Linked DNA regions of Macaca mulatta. The protein of the gene in region 4 interacts with the protein of the main gene of each other region in a biochemical or structural test. Links are inferred from orthologs where the notes say so. Each region holds a gene or a part of one and is shown on either strand. Other genes may lie near its edges.

Region 1 (3,624 bases), on a different chromosome or scaffold from region 4:
CAGGCGCAAGCCACCAAGCCCGGCTAATTTTTTGTTGTTGTTGTTGTCAGACATGGGGTCTTGCGATATGCAAATTCCTGAGCTAAAACAATCCTCCACCTTGGCCTCCCAAAGTGCTGGGATTACAAGCGTGAGCCACTGCACCGGCCCAGAAACTTTCCTTATACACCTTGAGTCATTTAACCTAAGCTGTCTCTGTTTCTCTACTTTTGCAACTGTGGAACGATAAAAAGCAGTTTACAGAAAAGTGGTTATAACGTGGACCTACGTAACCTTAACAAATAACAACCCTGTTTTCTGAGGGCTTTTCCTAGGTTAGGCATTACATTCTAGGTCGCCATCAACTTAACGAGCTTTATATGCATGGTCCCCCAAATCCTCGCCATATCCCTGCTGTAACAGAAAGAACTATTTCCCCCTTGCACTGAGAGAGGAGGAGACTCAGTGACACATAGGACGCTGTCCAGGGCTACATGGAGAAAACAGTGGAGCCAGGCTAGAAGGGCCCCAAATCTGTCAGACTACCTTTTCAGGTTACCTAATTTCAAGTCATTTGAGCTTTCCATGACAAGTACAAACCACTGTCAGATTTTAAAAGATCATAATGGTGCCAGGCGCAGTGGCTCACGCCTGTAATCCCAGAACTTTGGGAGGCCGAGGCAGGCAGATCATGAGGTCATGAGTTCAGACCAGCCTGACTGACATGGTGAAACCCTGCCTCTAATAAAAATACAAAAATTAGCCAGGAGTGGTAGCACACGCCTGTAATCCCAACTACTCAGGAGGCAGAGGAAGGAGAATCGCTTAAACCCAGGAGGTAGAAGTTGCAGTGAGCTGAGATCGCGCCACTGCACTCCGGCCTGGGCAACAGAGTGAGACTCCATCTCAAAAGAAAAAAAGATCATAATGATCCTGTGATTGTGTGTGTTTTTTTGTTTTGTTTTTTGGTTCGAGACGAGCCTAGCCAACATGGTGAAATCCCGTCTCTACTAAAAGCACAAAAATTATCTGGGCATGGTGGCAGCCGCCTGTAATCCCAGGTACTCACAAGGCTGAGGCAGGAGAATCGCTTGAACCCAGGGGGCGGAGGTTGCAGTTAACCAAGATCGCACCATTGCACTCCAGCCTGGGCAACAAGAGCGAGACTCTGTCTCAAAAAAAATATATGGATATATGGCTGGGCGCGGTGGCTCACGCCTGTAATCCCAGCACTCTGGGAGGCTGAGGCGGGTGGATCATGAGGTCAGGATATCGAGACCATCCTGGCTAACACGGTGAAACCCCGTCTCTACAAAAACTACAAAAAATTAGCTGGGTGTGAAGGCACATGCCTATAATCCCAGCTACTTGAGAGGTCGAGGCAGGAGACTCGCTTGAACCTGGGAGGTGGAGGTTGCAGTGACCCGAGATCGCACCATTGGACTCCAGCCTGGGTGACAAGAGCAAAACTCTGTCTCAAAAAAAAGAAATGGAACTAGAAGTGGAAGCTCAGCCTCTGCTCAGCACTGGCCCAGCACTGTGACATACCAGCCTCATCCAGAATGAAGCCTCCATGGCGGGGTTTCTTGGGGGGCCGGTCATCATCTTCTTCCTCCTCTTCCTCATCATATTCCTCCTCCTCTTCCTCCTCTTCTTCTTCCTCAGGCTCTTCTTCCTTCTCACTGCCCGCCGCACTCCGCCGTTCTTCCTCTACCTACAGGTGTCAGGCAGGGTTGTAGCACCAGAATTCTACTACCCCAAAATCCGAAAACCAAGTTCCCCACCCTAAATCTGACCTCAGATCGCCCTGGTCAATCACAGCCCCCTTTGCCCTGCATACACCCCTTTCACTCTAGCCTGCTCTCTGGTTACCATTCTATCTCAGCAACAGCACTGCCATCTCCCCAGCCACTCAACCAACCCTGGGAGTTGACCTGGGCTTCTCCCTGCACTAGATTTCTTGCTCACTTTCCAGCGGGTCTTTAACTATAATAGCTCGATGAAGCTTGGTCCTTGGGCCTCATTTCTTTTCCTTTCTTTTTTTTTTTTTTTGAGATGGAGGCCCACTCTGTCTCCCAGGCTAGAGTGCCGTGGCACAATCTCAGCTCACTGCAACCTCCACCTCCTGGGTTCAAGCAATCCTCCTGCCTCAGCCTCCTGCGTAGCTGGGATTACAGGCATGCGCCACCACACCTGGCTAATTTTTGTATTTTTTTAGTAGAGACAGGGCTTCACCATGTTGGCCAGGCTGGTCCTGAACTCCTGACCTCAGGTGATCCACTCGCCTCTGCCTCCCAAAGTGCTGGGATTACAGGTGTTAGCCACAGCAACCAGCCCATCTCTTCCCATTCGACAACTCCCCAAGGCCAACTTGTCCTCTCCCTTGGTGGTGGGGGACATCTCTGTGACAGTGACTCCCATCTCTGTTTCTAGTCCACACTGCTCACCAAGATCACTGGCCAGCCCTGTTGCTAATTCTGTGGCCATTCTGTATTCCCTACCATCCCAGCAGCGTCTGGCACTCCAACCATGCCCTCCCTGGAGAAATGTTCCTCTCTTGGCTTCTGCTGTACCATGCTCTCCTGGTTTTTCTCAAAACTCCAACGGCTCCTCTTCAAGCTCCTCTTACTATTAACCCCTTCAAGTCTGACATCAATTACCAGGGCTCAGTCCAGGGCCACTTTGTTCTCCCTCCATGCACTCTCTCCCAGGACATTTTACCTTCCATGACCCCAGTTCCTGTCTCTACAGACGACACCCTCATCTGTCTCTAGACTCCCACCTTTTTCCAGAATTCAAGACCTCTATGCACCAGCAGCATCCTGGATGCCTCCCCCAGATGTCCTCTGAGCCTTTTCATACCAACTGTGTCCCAAACTGACCTCAACGTCTTCCCCTAGACCTGTGCTGGCCTCCTCCAATTACCGACAGGCACCAAATCCTCATCCTTTCTGCCTGTGAACATCATTTCTCCAACCCATCCTTTCCCCCCAGCCCCATACATCTGAGCCTAGGCCACGACACTGCCCTCTAACCCCTGGATCCTTACCCCAGCCTCCTCCCTACTCTCCTGGCCTCTAATCCCTCTTTCCATACCAGCAACAACATTAATGGATGCATACCGAACTTCAATCTGTAACTCATTAACTTCACAACTTCTTCCATGTCATTACTACAATCTATTTACCTAACACAGGTTGAGCATTTCTTTTTTTTTTTTTTTGAGACGGAGTCTCGCTCTGTCGCCCAGGCTGGAGTGCAGTGGCTGGATCTCAGCTCACTGCAAGCTCCGCCTCCCAGGTTTACTCCATCCTCCTGCCTCAGCCTCCCGAGTAGCTGGGACTACAGGCGCCCGCCACCTCGCCCGGCTAGTTTTCTGTATTTTTTAGTAGAGACGGGATTTCACCGTGTTAGGCAGGATGGTCTCGATCTCCTGACCTTGTGATCCACCCGTCTCAGCCTCCCAAAGTGCTGGGATTACAGGCTTGAGCCACCGTGCCCAGCTGAGCATTTCTTTTTTTGTGTGTGTGATGGTGTCTCGCTCTGTTGCCCTGGCTGGAGTGCAGTGGCGCGATCTCGTCCCACTACAATCTCCACCTCCAGGGTTCATGCCATTCTCCTGCCTCAGCCTCCCCAGTAGCTGGG
Region 2 (4,175 bases), on a different chromosome or scaffold from region 4:
AACCTCAGGTGATCTACCTGCCTCGGCCTCCCAAAGTGCTAGGATTACAGGCGTGAGCCACCGTGCCCGGCCGTTTACTCGTTCTTGTCTCCTCCATGCCAGACTCGACTCCATGAGGGCAAGGACTATTTCTGCCTCCCTCATTCCTATATTCCTAGGAGTTGGCAGTTCCTGACATTTAGTGGTGGATGAGGAATAAATGAAACCAGACACATCGACAGTGTCTGTAGTTCATGGCCCAATTTTTGTGTCTTGCTCCCCTTCCCTTTGCTTAGCCAACTCCTATGCATCCCTCAGTGCCCAACTGAAACCTCCCCTCTTCTCTGAGCCCTCAGAGCCCACTGTGCTTCTCCTGCTCCTTCCTGGGTTGTAGATTCCCATGTTATGAGTCTGTCTCCCCCACGACACTGTAACCCTCGAGAGGACACTGTAACCCTCGAGAGGACACTGTAACCCTCGAGAGGACACTGTAACCCTCCGTTGGGAGCTGGTTTGACAGATTCACCTTGCGGGGCCCCGAACCCAGGAGGTGCTCGAGTATTTCCGAAGTGGAGCAATGAATGGTTGCGCCGTGAGCATGCGCAGTTGTGTTACTGCCATGACTGGGGCGTGTGTGCATGCCTGGAACGGGGTAGGGGATCCTGCATCTCCCTACTGTTCTCTGCAGCCTCCTTCCCTTCCCCCCAGGAAGCCAGCCAGCCGCCCCCGCGACGTTACCCTTCTCCTGGGGCCTCAGAGCCCTGCCCATCTCGGGCAGCTTGGACTTGCAGAGACCCATCCAGCCAGCAGGCCTTGGGGTGGTCGCTCCCCGACCCCGCCCAGGCTCTGACCCCTCCTGGCTCCGCACAACGTCACAAGGGTCCCCGCCCCGGTCATTTTGCGACAATGACGGGGTCCATTCCTTCGGGGGAGGAAATGAACCCCAAACAGGCCCATGGGGAGCCAAGCAGCGGTTCGACCCAACCGGAGTAGGCCTCGGTTGCTATGGTGACGCGGCCTTCTTGGCCCTCCCCAACCCCGGTCCAGAGCGATATGGCGCATGCGCAAAGTGCCTGGGGGCCCGCAAGGAGGACTCTTCTCCCTCTCCCCACCCAGGATGCCCCGCGGTCCTTGGGTGTGACGTCACGAGGGAGGGCGGCCCCCCATTTGATGAAGTTAACTGTGTTGTATAAAAGAGCGCCAGCGACAGAGGCCGGTTAGTTTATCTCAGACTCGGCCTGGGTTTGCTGAGTCTAAGAAGGGACCGTGGTGGCCCTTTTGAGGTGACCATAGCCGCCGAGGAGCATAAGTGACTGCGCATTGAGGCGGCCACAGTGGCTAAGAAGGTTGCCATCGCGACGCGGCCGCTGGAGGGTTTCGCTTCCGGGTTAAGCGGCCGCAGAAGCGTAGACGGAGTAGCTGCAGCGCCTCTTCCGGTTACCTTTTCCCAGTGCCGGAGGCGCCTGGGGTTGGGGTCTTCGCTCAGGGACAGAGACCCGACAGCGAGCGGCGGCTTGCCCGGGATCGAGGGACGCGCACGCCAGAGGAGACGAAAGGAACCCGGGTCGGACCAGATCGGAACCACTGACCATAGCCCATGGCGGCCCTAGTGAGTGTGGATTTGGCGGGGTTCCGGGGTCCCGACGGCGACCTCGGCAACTCCTCACTCACCGTCCGGTTCCTCTTTCCGCAGGGCCCTAGCAGCCAGAATGTCACTGAATACGTCGTTCGAGTTCCCAAGTAAGTGTCCAGCCCCATCTCCCCCTCCTCTCCACCCTCCAAAAATGAAAACCTTCACGGTCTTCTTAGCCAGGCGTTTCTGGCCCTGTCTGTGATTCTCCCTCCAGACTGGGAGAGACTTGGAGGGCAGGGCTGGGATTAAGCTGAGGCTTCCCTGGAGACAACCCTGCTTTTTTAAACGAATGAATGAATGAGTGCATTAATAACACGGCGATCCAGCCCCCTGGCCTAACCTTCGATCCCATGATGCTCAGGCCAGCTGTAAAGAACATATTCCTCGTCCTGTTTCAAAATGGTCGGGCTATCTTTCCTTTCTAGGCTTTTGTACATCCTGTTCCCTCTGCCATGAGTGCCTCCCCTCAACCCCTAAACTGTGACTCTGCTGGGTGAATTCTTGTTGATTCTACAAAGCTCAGCTCCAGTATCTTCCTCCTCCAGGAAGCCCTCCATGCCTGTCCTCCCTCCTCCCCAAGGCTGAGTTCACAATAATCTCCACATCTTGGGTTCCCTCAAATCTTTGTCCCTCCATCTGCTCTTCTTCTGCCTGGGGTCAAGAGGGGATGGGTCTAGCTTCTCTGGCAGACTGGGAATCCTTGGAGTCTTCTGTATCCAGTGTTGCCAGGCAAAACAGGCTGAATGAATCGAATCGGGGTGGGTTTGTTGAGTGATTGAATTGAATAAATGATTCAATTGAATGGAATGATTGAATTGAATTGATGGTTCAATTGGATTGAGCGATTGAATTAATGATTTGATTGAATTAATGATCCAGTTGGATGGCTGATTGAATTAATGGTTCAATCGCATTAATTCATTAAATTAATGATTGAACTGCTGTATTGGATTGACACCACCTCTTTCTAATCCACTCCAGGAATACAACCAAAAAATATAATATCATGGCTTTTAATGCAGCCGATAAAGTCAACTTTGCTACGTGGAATCAGGTAAGTCCCTGGGTCCTGGGGGTTGGGAGCTGGGGTGGTGGGAGAACATGACCCTGACCTTGGTGATTGTAATAGTTGCTTAACTGTCATAGTAACTAAGTCTTAATTTTCTCACTTTTCTCAAAATGAAGAAAAGATAGATGACAAAGGATTGGGTGCAGTAGTTCACACCCCTGATCTCAGCACTTTAGGAGGCCGAGGCAGGAAGCTTGCTTAAGGCTAGGAGTTCAAAACCAGCCTGGGCAATGTAATAGCAAGACCCCAACTCTACAAAAAAATTAAAAAATTAGCTGGGGCTGGTAGTGTGGGTCTGTAGGCCTACATAGGAGGCTGAGGTAGGAGGATCGCTGGAGCCCAGGGGTTCAAGGCTGCAGTGAGCTATGATTGCATCACTGCACTCCAGCCTGGATAATAGAGCAAGACCCTGTCTCAAAAAAAAAAAAAAAAAAAAAAAGTCCGGGTGCCATGGCTCAAGCCTGTAATCCCAGCACTTTGGGAGGTCGAGGCGGGTGGATCACGAGGTCCGGAGATCGAGACCATCTTGGCTAACATGGTGAAACCCCGTCTTTACTAAAAAAATACAAAAAAGTAGCCGGGCGAGGTGGCGGGCGCCTGTAGTCCCAGCTACTTGGGAGGCTGAGGCAGGAGAATGGCGTGAACCTGGGAGGCGGAGCTTGCAGTGAGCTGAGATCCGGCCACTGCACTCCAGCCTGGGGGACAGGGCGAGACTCCATCTCAAAAAAAAAAAAAAAAGAATGACAAAGGCCCAGGTCAAGCTCCTGGGTGTCCCTGTAAGTTAGGTTTGGTAGGCCCACCGGAGGCCTCTCCTTAAAGGAGAACATTCAGAAGTTGTGCCCACCGATGGGCATTTTTGACCAGGGTTTATCTGGGCAAGGGAGGGGACTGGGCTGGGGGCTTTCCCAGAGCCCCTGCCATCAGAGGCTCTAGAAAGGAGTTTGGGAGCCATTAAAGTGTTTTCAACTGGGAGGTTGTAGTGTGATCTGGCTGTTGTGGGGAGACAGACTGTGGGTTTGAGGGCAGTTAAAGGGAGACCGGGTAGAAGCAACTGGTCTGGTCTAGGTGAGTCCTGGTGGGCACTGGGGGCAGTGGAGGTTATGAGATGTGGCTGATTCTAGAGTGTTTTGGAAATGGTATATATGGACCTTAAATCAAGAGCTTAAGGGTAATTTGGATCATATTAGCCACATAGGTCACGATAAATGGTAACATTTGTAGAGATTTTGGTGCCTTAATGTCAGCAAATGTTGCACAATGAGATTCTTTTTATTTATTTTATTTATTTATTTTTTGTGATGGAGTCTCTTGTTGTCCAGGCTGGAGTGCAATGGCACGACCTGGGCTCACTGCAATCTCCACCTCCCAGGTTCAAGCCATTCTTCTGCCTCAGCCTCCCAAGTACAGGTGCCTGCCACCACGCCCAGCTAATTTTTGTCTTTTTATGAAGTTTCGCCATGTTGGTCAGGCTGGTCTTGATCTCCTGACCTCAAG
Region 3 (3,624 bases), on a different chromosome or scaffold from region 4:
TAAAAACACTGTAACTGGCCTTCGTTCTGTTTATCCAGTGGGTTCCAGCTTCAGTCTTTAGTTTCATAACCATGGAGGTTATAGCAGTGCTTCCATATCAGTAGAGGCCACTCTTGAATACTCCTTTGGCACTCTACAATCTCACAGGTCTTCGGAGGGATTTCAAAATGTACCTTTTCTAAATTCAGTATACCAGTATACTCAGAAGAGGAGCCTAGTGAAATATTATCCCCAAGATGGCCTCAAATAATTCAAATAAGCCTCTTAAATGGCTTATAATGACCAATTACATTGTTCAGTATATAGTGATCTAAAATAAGCATTCCTTCTCCTTAACCTCACACTATCCCTCTCCTCCCACCAAAGAAACACACTACATTTTAACTTTAAATTGAACAAAAATGTTTATTCATGAAAATTTAACTTACTGCTATATGTGGCCATTACAACCTCAAGAGCACACGCCAATAAAGACATATGAAAAATGTTGTCATTCAGAAGTTTGCTAAAGGAAAAAAAAAGATTATAAGATATTTACTTTTATAAAAAGAAAAAAAAATTGTTTTACTAAAAGTAAAAAATTTACCTAAAATTTTGAATGGATAATCGTTCTTCTTCCTGAAACAGATAATTAAAAAAAAAAAAAAGAAGTTGTTTAATTGAAACCTTATTTGTGTTAGCATTGAAATTTTTGTTGGTTTTTTTTTGGTTTATTTTTTGTTTTTTGTTTTTAAGATGGTGTCTCACTCTGTTGCCAGGCTGGAGTGTAGTGGCACGAACTTGGCTCACTGCAACCTCCACCTCCCGGGTTCAAGTGATTCTCCTGCCTCAGCCTGCTGAGTAGCTGGGACTACAGACGTGTACCACCATGCCCAGCTAATTTTTGTACTTTTAGTAGAGACAGGGTTTCACCAAGATGGCCAGGATGGTCTCGATCTCTTGACCTCATGATCTGCCCACCTCGGCCTCCCAAAGTGCTGGGATTACAGGTGTGAACCACCATGCCCGGCTGAAATTTTTTTATATTATTTTCAACTTACTGATTTAAGCATGGATTCCATTACTCGGTAATACAAGCGAACTCCAAGTTTGTATCGCTACAAACAAACAAAAAGAAAAATAAGAGCCTGCTATTTTAGAAAATCACAACTACTAATTTTTTTTTTTTTTTGAGATGGAGTGTCACTATTTTGCCCAGGCTGGCCTTCACATTCCTGGGCTCAAGAGATCCTCCTGCTTTGGCCTCCCAAGAGGCTGGGATTATAGGCATGCACTTCTATACCCAGCTGACAATTACTAATTTTTTAAAAAGCCTTTTCTTAAAACATACTTCTCACCCTTCTTAGAAATATGGCCGCCAAGAAAACGCCAAGACAAGCTAGCTTGTCTAAAACTCAAGACTTAAGTATTAAGTGGTGATTAACATTCCCAAGTAAATTAACAAGAGGGTAGGTCCAGTACCTGAATTTCCTTAACTCATTTCAGTCTATATCATTCATACTAAAGATAGGTTATATGCCCAGTACTATTTTAAGCACTTTATGTGCCTTCTATAACATTTCTCATGACCTAGGACATGTATTTTCAAGATGGTTGTCTAGGATTAAGAGGACAGTCTTTGTCCATAAATTTAGTAAAACTGACACAGAAAAAATCAGATCAAACTGACTTTATGAGCAAGACGTTTTAACCAAATAACTGGTTCCCATTATTTGAAAGAATAACCAAATTTTAGAGATATAAACACACACCATATTATTTCATTCCAAATTAAGAGCAAAAATCTCATACACGATCATGCACCGCATAACAATGTTTTTGGTCAATAACTGACTGCATATATAACAGTGGTCCCATAAGATTATAACAGAGCTGAAAAATTCCTTTTGTTTAGTGTAATGTTGTAGTGCAGTGCATTACTCACATCTTTGTGATGATGCTGATGTAAATAAACCTATTGCACTGCCAGTCATAGTATAGCACATACAATTATGTATGGTACATAATATTTAATAATGAATATGTTACTGGTTTATATTTATTATCCTATACTTTTCATTATTTTAGAGCATCCTCCTTCTACTTGTAAAAAAAAAAAAAAAAAGTTAATTGTAAAACAACCTCAGGCAGCTCCTTCAGGAGATATTCCAGAAGATAGCATCATCATCATAGGAGATGACAGCTCCATGCATTTTATTGTCCCTGAAGAGTTGGGACAGAATTTGGAGGCAGAAGACAGTGGTATTATTAATCCTGATCCTGTGTAGGCCTAGGCTAATGTGTGTGTTTACCTTTGTTTTGGGCAAAAATGTTTATGAAATTGAAAACAAAATGTAAATAGAAAAAAAGCATATAGAATAAGGATTATAAAGAAAGAAAATATTTTTGTACAGCTGGACAAGGTGTTTGTGTTTTAAGCTAAGTGTTATTATAAGAGTCAAAAGTTTTTTCCAAACTGAAGATTTATAAAGTAAAAAAGTTACGGTGAGCTATAGTTAATTCACTACTGAAGAAAAAATGTTTATGAAATTAGTTTAGCCTAAGTGTAGTATTTATAAAGTCTATGATAGTGTACAGTAATGTCATAGGTAATGTTGTAGGCCTTCACATTCACTCACTGACGCATTCAGAGCAACTTTCAATCCTGTAAGCTCCATTCATAGTAAGTGCTCTGTGCAGGTGTTCCATTGTTTATCCTTTATACTATATCTTTAATGTACCTTTTCTGTATTTGGATATGTTTAGATACACAAATGGTAACACATTGGTTTGTATAGACACACTCTACCAGGTTCACACAACAAAACTGCCTAATGATGCATTTGTCAGAACATATGCCTGTTAAGTGGCGCATGGCTGTAGGATCAAAAAGAACCATTAAATATCAATGTTTAAATCACTGATGGCATCAAAATATAACCTCACTACACTGAAATAAATGTGTACAGTGGACTACAGTTTTCCAATATATTTTTGTATATTATCCTCATTAATGCCACACAAAAAAGCAGAGCAAATATAGAACCTGATTCTCAGAGAAGTTAAATGACATGTCCAAGATTGACAATGGTAGAACCAAATATAAACCCAGGGCTGTAACTCCATGGCCCATACTCTTACCTATTATATTAGCTTTAGATTTCCTGAAATAATAATGATATCACTCAGTAATATCACTGAGAAATGGCATGTATAGTATAGTCCCATTCACATTAGGATATGCATACATGAACAGTCATACATGTAGAAGTCAAAGCAAAATCAAAAATTTAATATCAAAGATTTCAATTTTTTTCTTAGTTGTATTTTCTAAAGTTTCTACAAGTGGTATGTGTTCCTTTATTACATAGCTTTTATAATGGGGTGGGAGGTAGTTTCCCATACAGTTTCCTATAAATAGCAACATCCACAGGCAGCAGGGATATAGTATCTGCCAGTATTTTATACTACTAGACAAATACTGTTAGAGTATTTATACCAACTGGAAAGATGCTGCTTTTAACATTATTACTCTATAGTACCACTAATTAAAATGAATTCAAGTTACCTGTGATCCAATTTCGACACATCCCTGTCCCACAGCTTTAGCAAATTTCTCTTTAAAGATATATCCTATATCCTTCA
Region 4 (4,227 bases):
GAGAGAACTCGACCCCTCCCAAGAGAAGCAGTGCCCGCCACAGATTGGCACATACCACATGCCAGGCCCAACCCTGACATACGTCACATTTCTGGTTCACAGAAGAGAAACCCAGCGCTGACTCAGTTGTTCTGCCCAAGGCCACAGAATGGCTGATGGAACCAAGACTGGCGCATAGCCTGTGTGGCTCTCAAGGGCAGGCCCTGTCACCAAACCAGCCTCCCTTCCAGAGAGGAGCGCTCCCTCCATTCCACTCCCCACTCCTCTGCCGGGGGACCGGGACCCCGTACCTCAGGGGTGATGGAGCCGCAGAGCTGACTGATGAGGGCGAGTTGGTGCTGCTCCGTGTTGCCCTGCATGATGGGGCTGCGGGTCCACATCTCTGCCATGATGCACCCAGCACCCCACAGGTCAATGGGGGGGCCGTAGTCCCGCTCCCCTGGGAAGAAGAGCGCACCAGGAGGGCCCCTTGAGCCCGGAGGCCTCCTGAGACTCAATGCCCCAGGGCCGGCAGCTCAAGAAGCCCTGGCAGTGGGGGGGCGGGGGCCAGGTAGATGCCTGGCCCTCACCCCCCTCGGCCCGCTCGGGAGTCCTCACCGAGCAACAGCTCCGGGGGCCGGTACCAGAGTGTCACCACACGGTTGGTGTAGCGGTTGGGCTGGCTGTTCTTAGCCAGGCTGAAGGCCCGGGCCAGCCCAAAGTCTGCCAGCTTCAGGACCCCGTCACGAGTGATAAGCACGTTAGCAGCCTTCATGTCCCTATGCAGGATCTGCAAGAAGGGCAAGAGTGGCTCCTTCAGTGATATCCACCCGGTAGTGGGAGCCAAGGCCAGCCCAAGCCTGGGTCCTCCTCCCAGCTCTCGCCCCCACCTTGTTCCTGTGGATATAGTAGAGGCCGTTAAGGAGCATCTGCATCACCCTCTTGATCTCAGACAGCGTGAACTTGACCAAAACATTGCTCAACAGCCCAGCAAGGTCATGCTCGCAGAAGTCGAACACCAGGTATATACTGCCCTTGCAGCGGTTATAGGGTGAAGCTGAGGCAGGAATACAAGGAAGAAAAAGTCAAGAAAGCCACACCCAACACACTTTCCCACAACCAGTTTCTTTCTTCCTGCTCCAACCCATGGGCACCCAAGCCCTCCAGAGCATCTGTCTGTTCCTTCCTTCACTGGTCAAATATTTTCTGAGTGCCTCTTCTGGGCCAGGGCAGACCCCGAGGAAGCACCAGCTACGATGAAAGAGGACCAGAGAAAGCAGTCACCATGGGTCCATCTGAGTTAAGAGGAGGCAGTTTAGGTGGGTCTAGTTCCAACTTTACGAACAAAACCTTAGGCTACAAGTGTCATCTCCTCATAAGATCCAAACAACTTACCTTTGGTTCGACAAATCTCAATCAAGTTGACCACATTCTCATGTTTTAGAAGTTGAAGGATCTTGATCTCCCGCAAGGCGGTAATGGGGAACTGGGTGGGAGAGAGGGGAAAGTGGTCAAGAGTGAGCGCAGTACAGAGCCCAGCCCTGGGGTCTATATTGAGAGGCAAGATGGGAGACAGAGCAAGATCATGGGCTCTGAAACCAGCTGTCTCAGAAGCTCTGCCTGTAAAATGGATATAGTAGGAGCATGCACACTTCAAGGAGATGATTTGAGACAACAAACTGAAACAGCAATACTTTGCTATTAGCCACTAAATGCTCGGCGGTTTCAGCCTTCAAACTTCAGCTCTATGGCTGTTTCGTTGGCAACAAACATGACGATTCAAAAATGTCCTCGCTAAAGCACATCAGGAAAAGGAAGGTTTATGGGACGTTGTACTTGAGCTAAGATGGGGTGGAGGGACCGCTCCTTTTAAACACATTAAATAACTGAGTATTAGTCACTTTTCAAAAATTTGCATGCATATGTATCTTTCTTTAACATTAAGCAAAATTTAACACTAAAAAAAGGTGTTTAAAGGCTTCCTAACTTCGTGAACTAAAGTGCACACGATGCATGCATCAACTCCCCCTCCCGGTCTCACCCATAACTGCCTAAGAATGAAGCATTTAGTTTTAGGGTGGAGGCCAAATTCCCTGGAAATTTCTGAACTACTACGAAAAAAATTAAATCTCAACCTGAGACTCCTAGAAGCAGCAGGGTGGAAAACCGACCCGGGGTCCTGGGCAGTTAGACGGCTGGCCCGCACGCCCGATCCGTACTCACCCCCTCCTTCTCGTTTTCCATCAGCACCTTCTTCAGAGCCACCTTCTGGCCGGTCTTGCGGTGCCTGGCCTTAAACACCTCCCTGCAGGCGGAAAGGGAGACCCGAGAGCTCATCAGGCGATTTCCGCAGGGCCCGCCCCTCCCCCACTACAGGAGGAGGGGCAGCAGCAAAAAGATTCCCGGGCGGGGCTGGGGTAAGTACCCAGGGCACGCGGCTACCCCGCCACCCGGCACCCTGTCTCGTTCGGAGCTTCTGCTTCCTTCTCTCAGTCCCTTCTCCTCACTTGGGCGTCTCTTGGAGAGATCCCGTTCCCCTCACGGGCGCCTCTCTGCAGCCCCTCCCCGCCCCCACCACCGGCCTCAGGCTCCTCCCCACCAGCCGGCTCCTTCAGGCCGGGGCGGGGTGCGGCGCGGCCTAAAGACCAGTGGGCAAGCCCGGGGACAGACGGTTTCTCTACCAACTCGGGCGGGGCCCGGGGCATCCCGACGTCCGCCCTAGGGGTGCAGGCCCACGGCTCCCGGCCCCGAGGGGCCCAGCCTTACCCGAAGGTGCCTTGGCCGATCTTGGCGAGCTTCTCGTATTTGGAAACTTCATCACAAAAGGGGCACTCCACCGAGTCGTACTGCTTTGCCATGGCCGCCTCCAACGCGCCGCCGCCGCCCCCAGCCGCTGCTGCTGCCGCTCCCGCTCCGGGTCCCGCCGCCGCCGCGCTCCAGGCCCCTCCGCGGCCGCGCCACTTCCGCCTCCACGGCCACTTCCGGCCTCGCGGCGCCGACCCCGCCTCTTCCGCCCGCCGCCCGCCGCCAGGCCCCCTGGGACTTGTAGTTCCCGAGAGGCCAGGGGGAGCCGGAGCTGCAGAGGCGCCTCCGCCGCCGCCGCTGCCCCCGCCTCCGCCGCCGCCACTACTGGCGGCGGCCCCGATCGGGGGCGCGGGGAGCCGGGGCGCCGGAGCTGGGGCTCGGGGTGGCGCGTCCCGCTGCATGGGCCCGGGCCGCCGCTGCTGCCGAAGCTGCTGCCGCTCTGGCGCCCGATCCGGGGCCAGCCGCAGTGCCCTGCTCCTCCTCCTCCGACGGCGCCGCCTCCGCCGGGCTGCGCGGGGCGGCGGGCGGGGGGGCAGCCCCCGAGCCGCGGCCTGGGGGCTCCCTGGCCGGGCCCGGGCCCGGGGCGGCCGGGCGAGGGGGCGAGACGGGAAGAGCCGACTAGGAGACGGCCCGAGAGCCCGGGAGGGGGCGCGTTATAAAGGGGGAGGTGCCCGGCCTCGCCTTCCCCTCCTCCTCCGCCCGCCCCCGCCCTCCTCCCTCCCACCCTCCGCGGCCGCACCTGCCGCCGCCGCCACCGCCCGCCCGCCCGCCCGCCCGCTCGCTGTCCGCCGGCCGCCCTCGGCGCGTCACCGCCCGCGGCCCCTCCTCCGCCTTCGGAGGTGGGGCCCCGCGCTCGGCACCTGGCTGCGGGCGCCCAGCCGCGTGCCTCAGTTTACCCCCACATGCCGGCTGCCGCGGAGAGCCCCTTCCTCCCCGGCTCGGAGTGCCCCCCCAAGAGGCGAAGGCGGGAGGCGCGGAGGGAGCGTCCTCCGGCCCTGGGAGGAGAAAACGGCCCCCGCCTCCGCCTCCCCCGGTCCCCGCCACCCTCCGTTGACATGGCAACCGACGGCCGCCAGGGGGCGCGGCGGCACTGGAGGCGACGAGCAAGCAACGCCCGGGCCTTCTATCGCTGGAGCCTGGCTCTCCAGGAGGCAGGGATGGGACCCGCAGGACTCGCGCCTTCGCCGAGTCGCGCCAGAGCTGATCAGGCCCCGGGTCAATAATCGCAAAAAACAGCTACCATTTTCTCAGCACTCTTTGTGTGCTCAGGAAGTGCTGGGCGTTTCCGCCGAATCCTGAATCAACAGCCCCATAGTCAGGATCACTAACCCATTTTGCAGAAGAGGACATTGAGGCTCAGAGGTGAGGTCATTTGCCCAAGGTCACACGGCGACAAAGCTGGGTGTCTGACTGTGAAGGGGATTCTCTTGACTCAGGCTATCC
Region 5 (3,624 bases), on a different chromosome or scaffold from region 4:
AATTCTTAGTGAAGTTTAACTATAGTCACAGACCTTAAATATTCACATTGTTATCTATGTCTACTGAAAATAAGTTCACTACTTTTCTGGATATTCTTTACAAAATCTTATTAAAATTCCTGGTATTATCACCCCCAACTATACAGTAGCACAACCACCTTATGTAGTTTTTACATGATAGCTCTTGTAGAGGTTTCACATCTAAATTATCAAGAAAGCCCTTCCCTCCCTCATCTTGCACTCGCTTAATTCTATACTAGTCCTTGGATTATGTACCACTGTAAAAGTATAACTGTATCAAAATTACCATGTTTATGGATACAATATTATGCCATACAGAGCAACAAAGTTACATATAATGACAAAGATCACTAAAGTTATGCAAGACAAGAACAAATGTTAGGACATGCTACCTAGGCACAGTCCCTACAAAGAGGCTCCTAAGTACCCCAAGTTCAAATAACATTGACAAAATAAAGAACAATTATCTTTAAAAATTATAAAGCTATTAGATAATTGCTAAATAAAGGTAGAGCACAAGATTAAACTCTAATATTTACAAACTGCAACATACTCGAGTAAAATTACAATTGTGCACATATCAGTGGCTTTGTAACAAAAATACAGAAAAAAAAATTGTTTTCAGTTCAACAAGAGGTTGAATCCAATCAATCTCAAATATACTCAACTCAAAGATTTACCACAGAATAAATTCAAGATTAGCTGATAAACAAGAGCCATATTACTGGTGTTTAGGACAAAATCTAAACAAGTTAAAATCCAATGTTTGATCAGAAGTCAGATGACTGTGCAAACTTTACCTCAACAGAAATACACTGAGATGTGCAAACAAATGTAAAACCTCCACTAGTGGTTTGCCTAGGAGGCTGACCTCTTCTTTCTTACAGAGCTTCCTGATAACCATAACTATAAATACAGGTACAATGCACAGTCAGTAATCTTTTCTTTTTTATTTATTGTTAGAATATAAAAGAATTGAGAGAGCATAGGTTTAATTTCATTTTTATAAGGAAGACTACATTTACCTGAAAAAGAAATATGGCATCACACACAAACACGCTTCAGGGAAGGAGTATATTTAAGAATGTGGTGTCATTCTGAATGCTAAAGGAAAAGTGATCCCCGTTTACTGCTAAAATATGTAGTGTAAAATTCTTTAAAGGAAACAACTCACTAAGTCTCTACTAGGTAAGTTATTGTGAATTTAGTTTTCAAATCACAGTAATCCACATAACCATTATTAACAGCTCTGTTTCATAGAACTGCAACAAGCCAACAAACATTTAAATGCACTTCACATCAAGAGTATGTAAACTTTATTTTTTCCTCTTCAAGCCTTCAGAAAGTTAGGGGCTATTTCAGCAGCCAATCTGGTCAGAACCTCTGAAGGCAAAATTTCAGTGCCTCACAGTGTACGTGACCATCTGTGGCACTGCATACACATCTGGTAGTGAAGTGTCCCCTATCAGTGGCTTCCAGTAAGGCCTAGAGTTTAAGGTTAACGTAAAAAAGTGCCACCTTTGTTTTAGATTAGTGATGGACTCTGACAAGATAAAATAAAGTTATTCTGTATATTGTTATACTTACAAGCAGCTCCAATCCTGAGTATTTATGGTAATATCTAAACATACAAAAATGTATGTACATTTTTCTCCACTTTCTTGTAAACAGTTATCAGTATACTGTTTTATCCCTTTATCTTTGAAACATGCAAATCATACATACAAGTATAAATACACAAAAGAAAACAATTTACACTCATTCAAAAGCCAAGCAACAACAAAAAATAGCTACAGTATTCAAATCATAAATAATGAATGCTTGAGGCATCTTATATTCCTAGAAGCAGCCAGCCATTCATCCTAATGTTCTTAGCTGCAATTGTAGAAATACTGAGTTTTGCACCTTCCATGCTTTTACAGTATTTATAACACTATCATATGTGGAGATAAAGACTTGTTTACTATAATCTCTTCTTTTCAGAATGAAGAATAAAGCAGCACTTACAAATATTGAAGCAGTGGCAGCAACAGCAGGGGTTACCACTGCTAGATCAGAAGGAATTTTTCCATTCTAACAATTTTTAAATTAAAAAAGTAAAGGAAAAATTGACCTAAACAAATTATTACATGTTCATTCCTTGGGCACTTAACAGCGAGTCCAGCATGTCGAATGTGTCTTTGTAGTCCATATGCTGGCTGCTTGTACTGTACTCGTGATTGGCATCAGGACCGTTGGTCTCCACTGGCTTCTTGTCCAGTTTCACGAGGGTGCTGAGATGTCCGTAGCCCACCTGGTATGTGACAGGGGGAGGAGGGGGTAAGGGATGGTTAAAAACAGAGTTGTGAGAGGATATATACTGCTTAACAGAGGAGGAAGAACTAGATGAACTACCTGAACTTTTGGAACTTTTGCTCATTTTGGAGTGGTGGTTGTGAGATGCATCATTGACATGCAGCCTCTTCCTTGAAGAGCTGGAGCTAGAGGAAATGCCATCACTGCTCAGGCCAACAGGACTCCTCAGAACAGTGGGTGGTATTCCGTCGGCACTGTGTTTACTGCCACCACTGCTGCTGCCACTATGCGAGTGGGAATGCTTGTGGCTGCTGGTGTGGTGGCGGCTTGAAGGATGCTCCTTGTGCTTCTCCTTATGGTCTCTGCTAATATGTGGGCTTGAATGCTTGCTCTTCCCACTGCCTTCATCAGAAGAGCTGTGTCTTTCTGAAGAGGAAACTTTTATTTTCATTTTCAGTTCTTCTTTACTGGCGCTTTTATCAGTGGGTGGTATTGGAATCCGTAATTTCAGTGATCCACTCTTTTCCTTTTTATCTGCCATGTATTTTTCAGTATTTGCAATGGGTATTTTCATTTTAATGGGAGAAGTAACAGAACTGCTGCTGGCTGCCTGTGACTGCCCTTGTTTGTGCTGCTGTTCTACCTGGGCAGCTATATAATGATCCCTTACATCAAGATCAAGAGTTTCTAGTTTACGCTTTTCTCTATATTTGTCTAAAGACATTTTCTGAGGAATTATTCCTGGAGTAGCAGAAATTGGCCCATGGTGTTTACTGCTCCCTGCTTTATGAGTATATTCTTGCTTAACAGAAGAATGATCTGAAATTTTGTCAGGTCTGTGATGTAATCCTGAATGCAGTGATATAGAAGGTCCCTGCTGGAAGTTGATGTTGTACTGGCTACCAGACAAAGATGTCTCCTGTTTCTGTGAATATATCTGCTCTGTCCTTGCTGAGTCTTGATGTTGAGGCCATTCCTGGTGTGATGACAAACCGTATGAAGTACTTGGCATTCCTGTTGCTAGCACTGACAAATTATCAGATGTATGGCTGTCTTGAACAGAAATATTTCCTGAATTTAGAGGTACTGGTGCAGGGAATGCTGATGTAGATGGTTTCTGAAAACTTGGGTTTGTAGGCACACCAGTGACACTATCTACTAAAATGGAATTCTGGACCAAAGATGAACCAAGAAGTGGTGTCTCTGATACCTGTCCATCTACTTTTGGTTTCCTAGCCGCCTGATTAGCCTATTAAAATAAAACACAGAAGAAGCAGTGATATAGAAAAACAATTTAATGCAAATTTC
Region 6 (4,347 bases), on a different chromosome or scaffold from region 4:
GGAGAACCCACGGATCCAGAAAGTCAGCCCTCTGTATAAACAGGCTGGGCTCCACACCCAGCAAACAGTGTCAGGCATGGAACCCACGGATGCGGAGAGCAGATGATTTACTGAAAAACATCTACATAAAGGTGGCCCTCGCAGCCCAAACCAAGTTGTTCGAAGGCCAGCTGCAAACTGTATAGAGCTGCTGAATTGGAACTCATGTCCTGGAGAGATGCGTCACTGTTGGGCTTCAAGCAAAAGCTGCGGAGATTTCTACCTGCATGCAGCTCTCTACAGAGACGTCGGCAAAGCCACAAGTCTACACTGCAGGGCGCTACTCCCATCACAGGCGTGCTGCCAGAGAAACGCACTTGTAACCCCCACCCTGTTCACAAAATCTGTCAACAAGTGACTTAATCTAGCAATTTTCAACTGTGTTCCACAAAGGTGCAGCAGGCATTTTGGGGAGGCCAACACATACCGGCTCCCAACGGCAGCCCGCCAAGCCAGGGCAGCGTCCTCGGGACCGAACAGAGCCATTGTCAGCAGCATGGACTCCTGCTGCAAATGCACCTCCCGAATTCAGCTAGCTAACAACCGCGAGGCAGGAACCTGATTCCAAACAGACGACCAGAACTGCCAGGGCACACGCACACGGCTTCAGACTAAAGCCTTCCCAGCCGTTCCTTCCTGGATCTATGGCACCCGTGCCCACTGCAAGGGGAGGAACACCTCTGGAAATGCTGACGTCACACCACCACACTCCCCAGAATGCTCACAAAACCCCTGTCCACAAACCCACAGGAGTACACGGAAATGGGAAAGGAGGCACCTTGAATTCCAGGTAACACCGCCTGTGGCTTTCTCTAAGGCAGGGATTCACCTGCCACCAGTGGACTGGAGGCAGACAGACGAGCCTCCTGGAACTAGAGGAAGACCTGGTGCCACACAGACGCTCCGAGGAGAAATGACATCACGTCAGTGTCTCAAAGGGCCCTGTGACGAACCACTGCCGTGAGGTACCCCAAGATCTCAAACAGCACCTCCCTGTAAAAAAGTACTGACTGCTGGGAACCCGTCATCAAACTAATTAGCCGGCTGATTGATGCACTGGGTTGGTTTTATTCACTAGACTGACTGAACATGGAGTTTCAATACTACCTAGTCACATAACCAAGTTATTCACCTGTCCAGGTCAAAGTGGCCCTTTCTGTACAATCAGAGGAACAGAACGAAACATCAGTACGGCTCTTCGATCCTGGGGTTTTCTGCCCAGAGAATACACCAGCACTGGGGTCTGCCTCCACGATCCTCGCAGGTATGACCAGTGCCCACTGAGGAAGCCGTGCAGGCATTTCCTGGGAGGCACGGCCCTCAACCTCCCAGCCCCACCCACCAGCACGCAGGGGACAGAGTGGGTGCCCGTGCAGAGGGTCAAGGACCCAGGCTCTGTCTCCAAACGAAGCAGAGCCAGGACGTTTTGGGGCTGTGATGGGAAGACTCCTGTCCCAATCCTTACTCCTGCAGAACCAGGTGCAGAGCAGATTCTCAACCAACACAGGGTCAGGGCAAGCCACAGGGACGAGGAACGGCGGCTGCCGAGGAGGGAGAGACTGGCATCCCCCGAAGGAGCGGCATCATTCCCAGAGGGAGCTCAGGCCCGGCCCACTGCAGGCTGGAGTGCCCACCTCTCCCTGGAGTTTCTGTTCTGACAATCAAAACCACCACAGCCAGGCGCACACGCGTGGCTACATGCCTGTTCATCCCAGAACACAAGGGTAGATTCAGACACGGCTGGACGCTTCGGTGTTACGGAAACACATCCCAGAAGGGGTTCTGGGGTCAGAGCACAGTTACGGACAGCTGTGGAGTCTGTCACACGCCCACATCACCTGCAACAATGCCCACTGTGGTCAACCACGGGGCCACTGCCTTCGCTGCAGGCCTGAGTTCCGCCCGTTCCTTAGCCACGAAACAGAGCTGCACCAGGTTTTACAACTGCGTTTCACAAAGTTTACAAAAATTTAAAGATGTGCACACGCCCATCAATAATAGGTCTGGAGCCTGCCTGATGACTCTTGTGCTCACAGCCACCCATGAGTTTTCCCAAGTCACAAAGGTGGAGCTAAAGGAAGGGGCGGGGACTATCACTGCAGAAGGAAAAAACAAACACCATCGCTTTCCCAAACAGTAACTTCGTGTCGCTACGCAGGACCCTTTCATCTCAAAATGCTCCCCATTGGTAAAACCACAGGTGGTGACTATCTAGTTTTAGGGGAGAAGCGCAGTGCCCGCGTCCCGCTTTATCGCCCCGTCCCCTGGGCGCCCCTGCCCACGCGGCCGCAGCAGCCCGGGCGGTCCCCCAGGACCCCTCCCCGGAGCCGCCCGCCCTCGGCCCCGCCCGGCCCGGCGCACTCACCCTGGAGCGACCATCTGGCCCGGTTGCGCGCACAGCTCCCGCACCACGCCCGCGCGCTCCGACCTCAGCCTGCGCTCCGACCGCGCGGGGCGCACGCAGCCCCCGGAGGCTGCACGAGACTGAGGAGCCCCAGCGGGCTGCGCGGAGGCGGCGGCCTCGAACACGGCCAGCACCGAGCCGATGCGCACGGCCGCGCCCGCCGCCACCCTCCACTCCAGCAGGCGCAGCGGCGCGGGCCCCGGGCAGCGCACCTCGGCCACGGTCGCCGTCGGGGCGCCCTCGGAGGAAAGGCGGCCCGCGGCCGGCACCTCCATCGCGGACAGAGGGCGGGCGGGCGGGCGGTTGCTACGGGGCCTGCGGTGCGCTCAGAGCGCAGCGCCCACCGCGGCGGCACGACCCGGGCGGCGACGCTTGTAGTTCCTCTCGGTACCGGCTTCCACCCGCCGCCTGGCCCGCGCCGACTTCCTGGAGGGCGCGTGACGTCACGGCAAGGGCGCCGCGTGCGTGCGTGCGTACGTGCGTGTGTAAACACGAGCGCCGCGCGAGTGTCGGGGCCGGCTCCGTCTTGGGACCAAGCCTGCGTGCCGGCCGCGGAGTACTGCGTTTCTGCGCCCTACTTTTCCTCGGGGAGCCGGCACCGTGGAGCAGTGGCATGCAGCGCGGCCCGCTGTCTCCCAGTCCCACTGACAGTCCTGGCGCGCTCGGAACTTGGTATCCCGGCGTGCATCGCGGGCAGGGCATGGCGGGACTACGAGTCCCAGCGTTCAACGCAAGCCTGCGGCCTATTACCCCGTCACACGCCGAGACCCAGCCTCCTGAGACTACGAGTTCCGGCATGCACCGCGAGCCGCTCTCCTCGACTTCCGTCGCGCACTGCGAGTCCCAATGTCGCGAGACTACGGGTCCTGGCATGCCGTGCGCGCCGCGGGCAGAGAGACCTGAGGCAGCTGGCGTCCGGGGGGCCCCGCCTCGTGTCCCGCTCCGTGTCCAGAGCGGACCCCACGCCGCGGGAGCTGCTGTGGTCTTTTCTTCCTCCGACCTCCCCTTCGACGCGGAAGCGCAGGGGCAGGTGCGCCGCCCTCGGCCCGCGCAGGCGGTGGGCCCGCCTGGGGCAAGGCGCCCGGAAGCGCCTGGTGGGCTCAGAAAATCCGAGCGACCGCAGCGGGAGGGCGGGCACGGCGCGTGGTCCCAGTGGCCCCGGGCGAACCCTGATGAGCAGCAGCCGCAAGTGTCTTATTAAAGGAGAGCCAGTTTCTACGTTTGTCGGGAGTTTACGTGAATTAAGCTGGCGGGCGGGCGGCCCAGCCTGTAGTCCCAGCACTTTGGGAGGCTGACGCGGGCGGATCACCTGAGCCTGGGAGTTGGAGACCAGCCTGGGCAACATAGCAAGACCCCATCTCTAAAATAGATTCATTAATACTTAGCCGGGCGCGGTGGCTGAGGTCCCAGCTACTCGGCAGGCCGAGGCGGGAGGCTGGACTGAGCCAGGCCGCTCTGGACTGTTTTTACTTTTTCAGCCTTAATACGTGCCCGAGTTCTTTTTTTACTGTGTATCTTTGTCCTTACATATATAAATGTTATGTACAATTGAGATTATCCTGTATTTGCCTTTTCCCCTCACTTTTATATGGTGGCTTTTCTCATGTTAGTAAACATTTTGGAAACTGTCGGCCTAAAAGGAAGCGGAGGCACAGTTTCTTTAAGTAGACAGTTTATTTGGGCCACCCTTGAGGAGCAGAAATTCAGGGCACCCTGAGTGTGTACTCCGATTAGCAGTTAGCAGTGGGTTTTAAAGGCAAGAAAGGGAGCCAGGGAGTCGACTAAAAGGAACTTGTTTGTCAGGAATTTCACTGGTTTACAGAAATAATATTGATTAGTGACTGACTCTAAGCTGTTGAGTGTGGGTGTAGTGTCCAGTGTGGCGTTATTAGGTTAATTTATAG
Region 7 (4,424 bases), on a different chromosome or scaffold from region 4:
CTGTGGCCTGAGGGACGCTCTGGAGCCCAGCATACAGGGACATCTGCAGGCAGGAAGGTGGCCCCGCCCTGTGGAGTCACTGAGATAAAGCCAAGAGATGTTTTGGGGAGGAAAAGCTGTTTCTGATGCTAAAACAGGTATCTAAAACGGGACCCAGTGTTCCAGCTTCCCCAGTCTGAGCTTTGAGTGACTTCAGCTGGGACCTGGGTGCACCCGGGTTCGTTGTCACCACCCGTGCTCCTAGGGCAGCTGTCCAACCTCCCACACCCACTCCGCTCATCCTTGACTTAAAGTGAGGTTGGGGGGCAGAAAAATTGGAGAAACACACTATCTTTGGCACCCTTTTCCCTCCTCACCTTCAGCCTGAAAGTCCCAGAACCTTCCTAACCTCTCCACTTGAAAATCTCTCCTGAGGAAACCACCAGACTGAATGCTTTTGGGTCGTTGTGGAACTATTTCTCTTCCAGTTGCCAGCATTTGAACACAGTTGCTAAATCCTCCCGGCCTCTGGGAGAGGCTGGTTTTAGGCCGCAACCCCGACCCCACGCTGAAGTCGGTGTCCCGCCTCCCAGCGAGGGCCGGGATAGGGCTCACCCCTCTCCCTCACTTCCTAACAAACTGTGTGGGTCCCAGGCTGCCTCCGGAAGCTCCAGATCCAGATCCCTGACTGGGGGTGTAGGTCAGGAGGAACGCGGGGCCTCATTCAGGGCCTCCCCCAGCCTCCTCCTCTATCACCTTTAGGAGGCCGAGAATCCAGGGAAAGATCTCTGACCACTAAATCTGCGTGCAGGTGAGTCACGGCTAAACAGCAGGCTTTTTCTTTTTAACAAGAGAGCGACGAAGACTACGATGTCTCCGGGCTGCGGGACCAGGCTGCTTCCTCGCACCTGCGCGTGTTTTCCTGTCTTTTCCGCGCGCGCTTCCAGCGCCCGTCCTGCAGGAGAAGGTGCGCCCCCAGCTCCCAGCCCCCAGCTCCCAGCGGGGCACCTGCCGGCCGGACATGGGCCTGGCCTGGGCTCCAGGGGAGGGAGGGCGCGCCCCGGGAGGACCTGCCAGGCTCCTTTCGCCTCCAGGCCGGGCTGACTCCTCCTGCAGAGCCAGGGCCGCGCCAAGTGCGTCGGCAGTTTCTGGGGTTTCCAGGCCCTGAGGACGCGGGGAGATGCGGCCTGGCACTCCTCCCGCGAGGTCGAGGTCGGGGTCGGGGTCGGGGTCGGGGTGGGTTCGCAGGCCAAGCCACGCGGGAAGGGTCGACGGGCCGCAGTTGGGAGCCCAGTTCGGCAGCGGGCGAGGCTCCAGGCCGCCCCTCTGAGGTCTGACCCTGCGCGTGGGCCCCGTGCGCCCCCCGAGTTCCGCGTGGGCAGAGCGGGCCCCGGGTCCTCCGAGCTCCCGGGGCGGCTCCGGCGGCAGCGTCCAGGTGGGGTGGGGCGGGCCGGGCGGGATCGGCCTGTGTTTACCTGGCTCGCAGGAAGCCCGGGGAGGCGGGGCCGGGGAGCGGGGTGCGCGCCCGTCCCTCCGAGCCGCCGCCGTCAGTCACCGCCGCCGCGCGCCAGAGAGAAGCAGCCTCCAGCCCCGGCGGCCCCGGTCTCCCGACCCCGGAAGGCGGCGCAGGCTGCCCGGGGACCCCGCGCGTCGGCGCTTGAAGCCGAGACGAGCCCGCCCGGGCCGAGCAGGGGGAGCAGGGCCTTGGACCCCGCGGCGCCCCTCGGCCTCGGAGCAGCGAGCGCAGCGCCGGTGGGTGACCCTCAGGGACGGGCGGGCGGCTCTGCCGCCTTTGTCTCTGTGCCCCTCCGAGTGGGGACCGCGGAGACCTGGGCGGGATCCCGGACCCAAGCCCCGCGGGAGCCTGGGACGCAAGATCTGGGACAGGAGCTGTCCCGAAGCCCGGACTCAGGGTCCCTCTCTTGGCTGGGGACGCGCAGGGGGAACCTGGGCAGCGGCGCAGGTGGCCGGGCAGGTGGCAGCCGGCGTCCTCCCTGACCCGAACCCACCTCGCCGGCCCCGATCCCCACTGCGAGGGGGTGGGCGCGGGTGTAGACGCGGGTTTACAGCGCCGGGGCCGGACCCTGACAGTTGCCCAGGGGTGGTCTCCAGCCAGGCCCGGCGGTCCCAGGGTCGCTGCCACCGCTCGGCCTCGGGCTGTGGGGCTGAGGGGAAGAGTCTAGGGTGGGAGGGGACGGCGGTCAAAAGCGGCCACTCTGGGCGGGTGCGGAGAGGGCGCTGGCGGCCAGGGCGGGCTGGAGGGTCCTCCCGACTCGCGGCGCCTGCTAATCACACCCCGGGGGCCCCGCGCGCGATCGCGCCCCCGACCCTGCCCCCAGGGCGAAGCGCAGTCTCCCTCTGAGCTCCAAGGGCGGCCGCGAGAGCCCGGGTACGGGCTTCCGCCTTCGCAGGGCCTGTCTCGGGCTCCTCCGCCCGGCCGGTCGCTGCGCCCACCTGAGCCCACGTGCGCCGCCTGCAGCCGCCCGCCGGCCCGCCCGGGTCTTCCCTGCAGCCGCCTCCCGGGCCCCACTGCCTGTCCTGGGCCGGGTGCGTCCGGTTTCGGTGGCCCCCGAGGCCGGCGTGTGTGACCTGCGGTCATTTGCCGCCACACTGTATTTTCCACGGTGCCGGGGGCAGCGCCTTGTGTCCTTTCGCGTCCACCAGAGCCCCCCGTTTTGGGAGGTGGAGTGGGGCTTGGGAAAAGATTCAAGCGTCTTTGGGGACCCCAGTGCGACTCTGGCTGGAAACAGGCGCGTTCTGGTTCCTTGTTCCGTTTTCCAATTGCAACAACATGAGAATCAACAAGTGCTCGGTTTCTCTGCGCCTGGGTGAGGGGCGCGTAGGCTCGCTGGGTGCTGGGTTGGGAGGGGCGTGGACTTCGTTCCGGCGAGGCCGCTGCCTGGTCTGACCACAGAACGTCCCGCCTGGAAAGAGTTTTTCAGAGGAAGGAAACGTCAGGGAACATCCAATGTGTTTTTTGGACATTTTATCTGGCGAAGCTCCGGGGGACGGGTTAAGGACGGTCACCCTCAAGTCAGGGAACCATATGGATTGAGCAAGGTCCTGCCCGGAGCTCCCTGGCGGCCACCTCCAGTGATGGACACCTCCTTAGCGTTTGGGCTGGGGCTGTGGATACGGCCGAGAGCCAGGAACCCACCTGCCTTTCAGTAGAGAAGGCCAGGGGAAAGGGCACCGCGGCAGAGGGTGTGTGTGTGTGTGTGTGTGTGTGTGTGTGTGTGTGTCTTTTGTTTTTTAGGGTTTTGTAGGGGAAAGGGCACCGCAGCAGAGGGGTGTGTGTGTATATGTGCGTGTGTGTGTCTTTTGTTTTTTAGGGCTTTGTTTTGTTTTCTGTGAAATCTGAGGGGAAAGAACCCAGTTAAAAATTGTTGTAAATGCTGGAGTAACTCCCAGGGAGTTAACTGTTCTGAAACAACCACTTCTGCTAACTCCGGGTTAAACAAAGCTATTTTGTTCAATCTTCTTTGAAAATCCTCCAAAAGTATCACAATTCTGCCCAGAGATAAGAAAGCGTAAGATGCGTCGCTTGTTTTACACCTGGTAGCTCACGGTTCCTCCATGATTTGAGACATGGGGTTTGAGTTTGGTCAGTGGCGGTCCTAGCTGTGTGCACTGATTAAAGTTAGCCCCCAAACGCTGGAAAAAAAAAAAAAAAAAAGACCGCACTTTCGTGTGGTGTTTCTATTTCTGCCTGAATTTGTCAATGTTAATTGTAAGTTATTTTGTTTGACTTTTAATCCTCCTCCAAGTTCTTTAAAAATATGACATGCTTAAGATTAGCAGTTTCCTCTGTGCCTTTTCTGTCCCCAGGGAGTGTTTATCCACCACTTGCACATTGCCAGACTCTCTTTTGAGAGCGGTTTGTCACCTCGGATAACAGTTGGGACGGCCCTAGGATGCTCTCATTGGATGTCGCCATCCTATTCATATTTTCATTTTTTACTGATGAGGAAACAAGGCTCAGAGAGGTTAAGTTATTCTAAGGGCACATGAGAAGAGGGCAGGATTCAGTCCAGGGAGTCTGCACCAGTGCCTAACTGCTGCTCTGCACCGCCGTGGTGAAAAGGATGGCTTGCAAAGGTGTTCCTGGGTCCTCCTTTTAAAATTCCACCCCTAATAATGAGTGAGTGTACCCAGAGATGTCCCACACACGTTTCCCTTCAAGAATGATTTGACCATAAGGCCACTGGCATCCGTCTTTGTTCATCATCCTCTCCTTAGCTTTCTTAGTTGTCAATAAAAGAGAAAAAATATTCTAATTACTCCTTGTCTTTTTTTTTTTTTTTTTTTTGATAAAGTCTTGCTCTGTCGCCCAGGCTGGAGTGCAGTGGTGCAATCTCGGTTCACTGCAACCTCCACCTCCTGGGTCCAAGAGATTCTCCTGCCTCAGCCTCCCCAGTACCTGGGACTACAGAGGCACACCACCA

What was found.
Region 1: of the proteins of CDK9 (region 4) and SUPT5H, one has a biochemical effect on the other in vitro, tested with the Homo sapiens proteins (4 studies listed by BioGRID, with this or other methods). The link is inferred for Macaca mulatta from reciprocal best matches to the Homo sapiens genes CDK9 and SUPT5H.
Region 2: the proteins of CDK9 (region 4) and GTF2F1 form a complex in vitro, tested with the Homo sapiens proteins (2 studies listed by BioGRID, with this or other methods). The link is inferred for Macaca mulatta from reciprocal best matches to the Homo sapiens genes CDK9 and GTF2F1.
Region 3: of the proteins of CDK9 (region 4) and RB1, one has a biochemical effect on the other in vitro, tested with the Homo sapiens proteins (4 studies listed by BioGRID, with this or other methods). The link is inferred for Macaca mulatta from reciprocal best matches to the Homo sapiens genes CDK9 and RB1.
Region 5: the proteins of CDK9 (region 4) and CCNT2 form a complex in vitro, tested with the Homo sapiens proteins (4 studies listed by BioGRID, with this or other methods). The link is inferred for Macaca mulatta from reciprocal best matches to the Homo sapiens genes CDK9 and CCNT2.
Region 6: of the proteins of CDK9 (region 4) and CTDP1, one has a biochemical effect on the other in vitro, tested with the Homo sapiens proteins (3 studies listed by BioGRID). The link is inferred for Macaca mulatta from reciprocal best matches to the Homo sapiens genes CDK9 and CTDP1.
Region 7: of the proteins of CDK9 (region 4) and MBP, one has a biochemical effect on the other in vitro, tested with the Homo sapiens proteins (2 studies listed by BioGRID). The link is inferred for Macaca mulatta from reciprocal best matches to the Homo sapiens genes CDK9 and MBP.

The regions. Positions count from the first base shown.
Region 1 is NC_133424.1:50,555,071-50,558,694, reverse strand, and holds part of SUPT5H (transcription elongation factor SPT5), read right to left. Parts: intron 1,694-3,624; coding exon 1,528-1,693; intron 1-1,527. UniProt on the Homo sapiens protein: Component of the DRB sensitivity-inducing factor complex (DSIF complex), which regulates mRNA processing and transcription elongation by RNA polymerase II.
Region 2 is NC_133424.1:7,269,474-7,273,648, reverse strand, and holds the start of GTF2F1 (general transcription factor IIF subunit 1), read left to right. Parts: upstream 1-1,334; 5' UTR 1,335-1,576; coding exon 1,577-1,588; exon of another isoform or gene 1,589-1,653; intron 1,654-1,672; coding exon 1,673-1,719; intron 1,720-2,593; coding exon 2,594-2,666; intron 2,667-4,175. Other genes in the region: adenylate kinase isoenzyme 1, read right to left, coding at 718-901, 1,268-1,333. UniProt on the Homo sapiens protein: TFIIF is a general transcription initiation factor that binds to RNA polymerase II and helps to recruit it to the initiation complex in collaboration with TFIIB. It promotes transcription elongation.
Region 3 is NC_133422.1:27,573,654-27,577,277, reverse strand, and holds part of RB1 (retinoblastoma-associated protein), read right to left. Parts: coding exon 3,548-3,624; intron 1,098-3,547; coding exon 1,041-1,097; intron 619-1,040; coding exon 587-618; intron 506-586; coding exon 429-505; intron 1-428. UniProt on the Homo sapiens protein: Tumor suppressor that is a key regulator of the G1/S transition of the cell cycle. The hypophosphorylated form binds transcription regulators of the E2F family, preventing transcription of E2F-responsive genes.
Region 4 is NC_133420.1:19,920,579-19,924,805, forward strand, and holds the start of CDK9 (cyclin-dependent kinase 9), read right to left. Parts: upstream 2,886-4,227; 5' UTR 2,838-2,885; coding exon 2,746-2,837; intron 2,285-2,745; coding exon 2,203-2,284; intron 1,466-2,202; coding exon 1,375-1,465; intron 1,037-1,374; coding exon 870-1,036; intron 770-869; coding exon 598-769; intron 440-597; coding exon 291-439; intron 1-290. UniProt on the Homo sapiens protein: Protein kinase involved in the regulation of transcription.
Region 5 is NC_133417.1:26,562,792-26,566,415, reverse strand, and holds part of CCNT2 (cyclin-T2), read right to left. Parts: intron 3,566-3,624; coding exon 2,147-3,565; 3' UTR 1-2,146. UniProt on the Homo sapiens protein: Regulatory subunit of the cyclin-dependent kinase pair (CDK9/cyclin T) complex, also called positive transcription elongation factor B (P-TEFB), which is proposed to facilitate the transition from abortive to production elongation by phosphorylating the CTD (carboxy-terminal domain) of the large subunit of RNA polymerase II (RNAP II).
Region 6 is NC_133423.1:1,304,024-1,308,370, forward strand, and holds the start of CTDP1 (RNA polymerase II subunit A C-terminal domain phosphatase), read right to left. Parts: upstream 2,894-4,347; 5' UTR 2,719-2,893; coding exon 2,405-2,718; intron 1-2,404. Other genes in the region: uncharacterized protein LOC106994590, read left to right, coding at 3,057-3,473. UniProt on the Homo sapiens protein: Processively dephosphorylates 'Ser-2' and 'Ser-5' of the heptad repeats YSPTSPS in the C-terminal domain of the largest RNA polymerase II subunit. This promotes the activity of RNA polymerase II.
Region 7 is NC_133423.1:3,679,849-3,684,272, forward strand, and holds the start of MBP (myelin basic protein), read left to right. Parts: upstream 1-1,528; 5' UTR 1,529-1,731; intron 1,732-4,424. UniProt on the Homo sapiens protein: The classic group of MBP isoforms (isoform 4-isoform 14) are with PLP the most abundant protein components of the myelin membrane in the CNS. They have a role in both its formation and stabilization.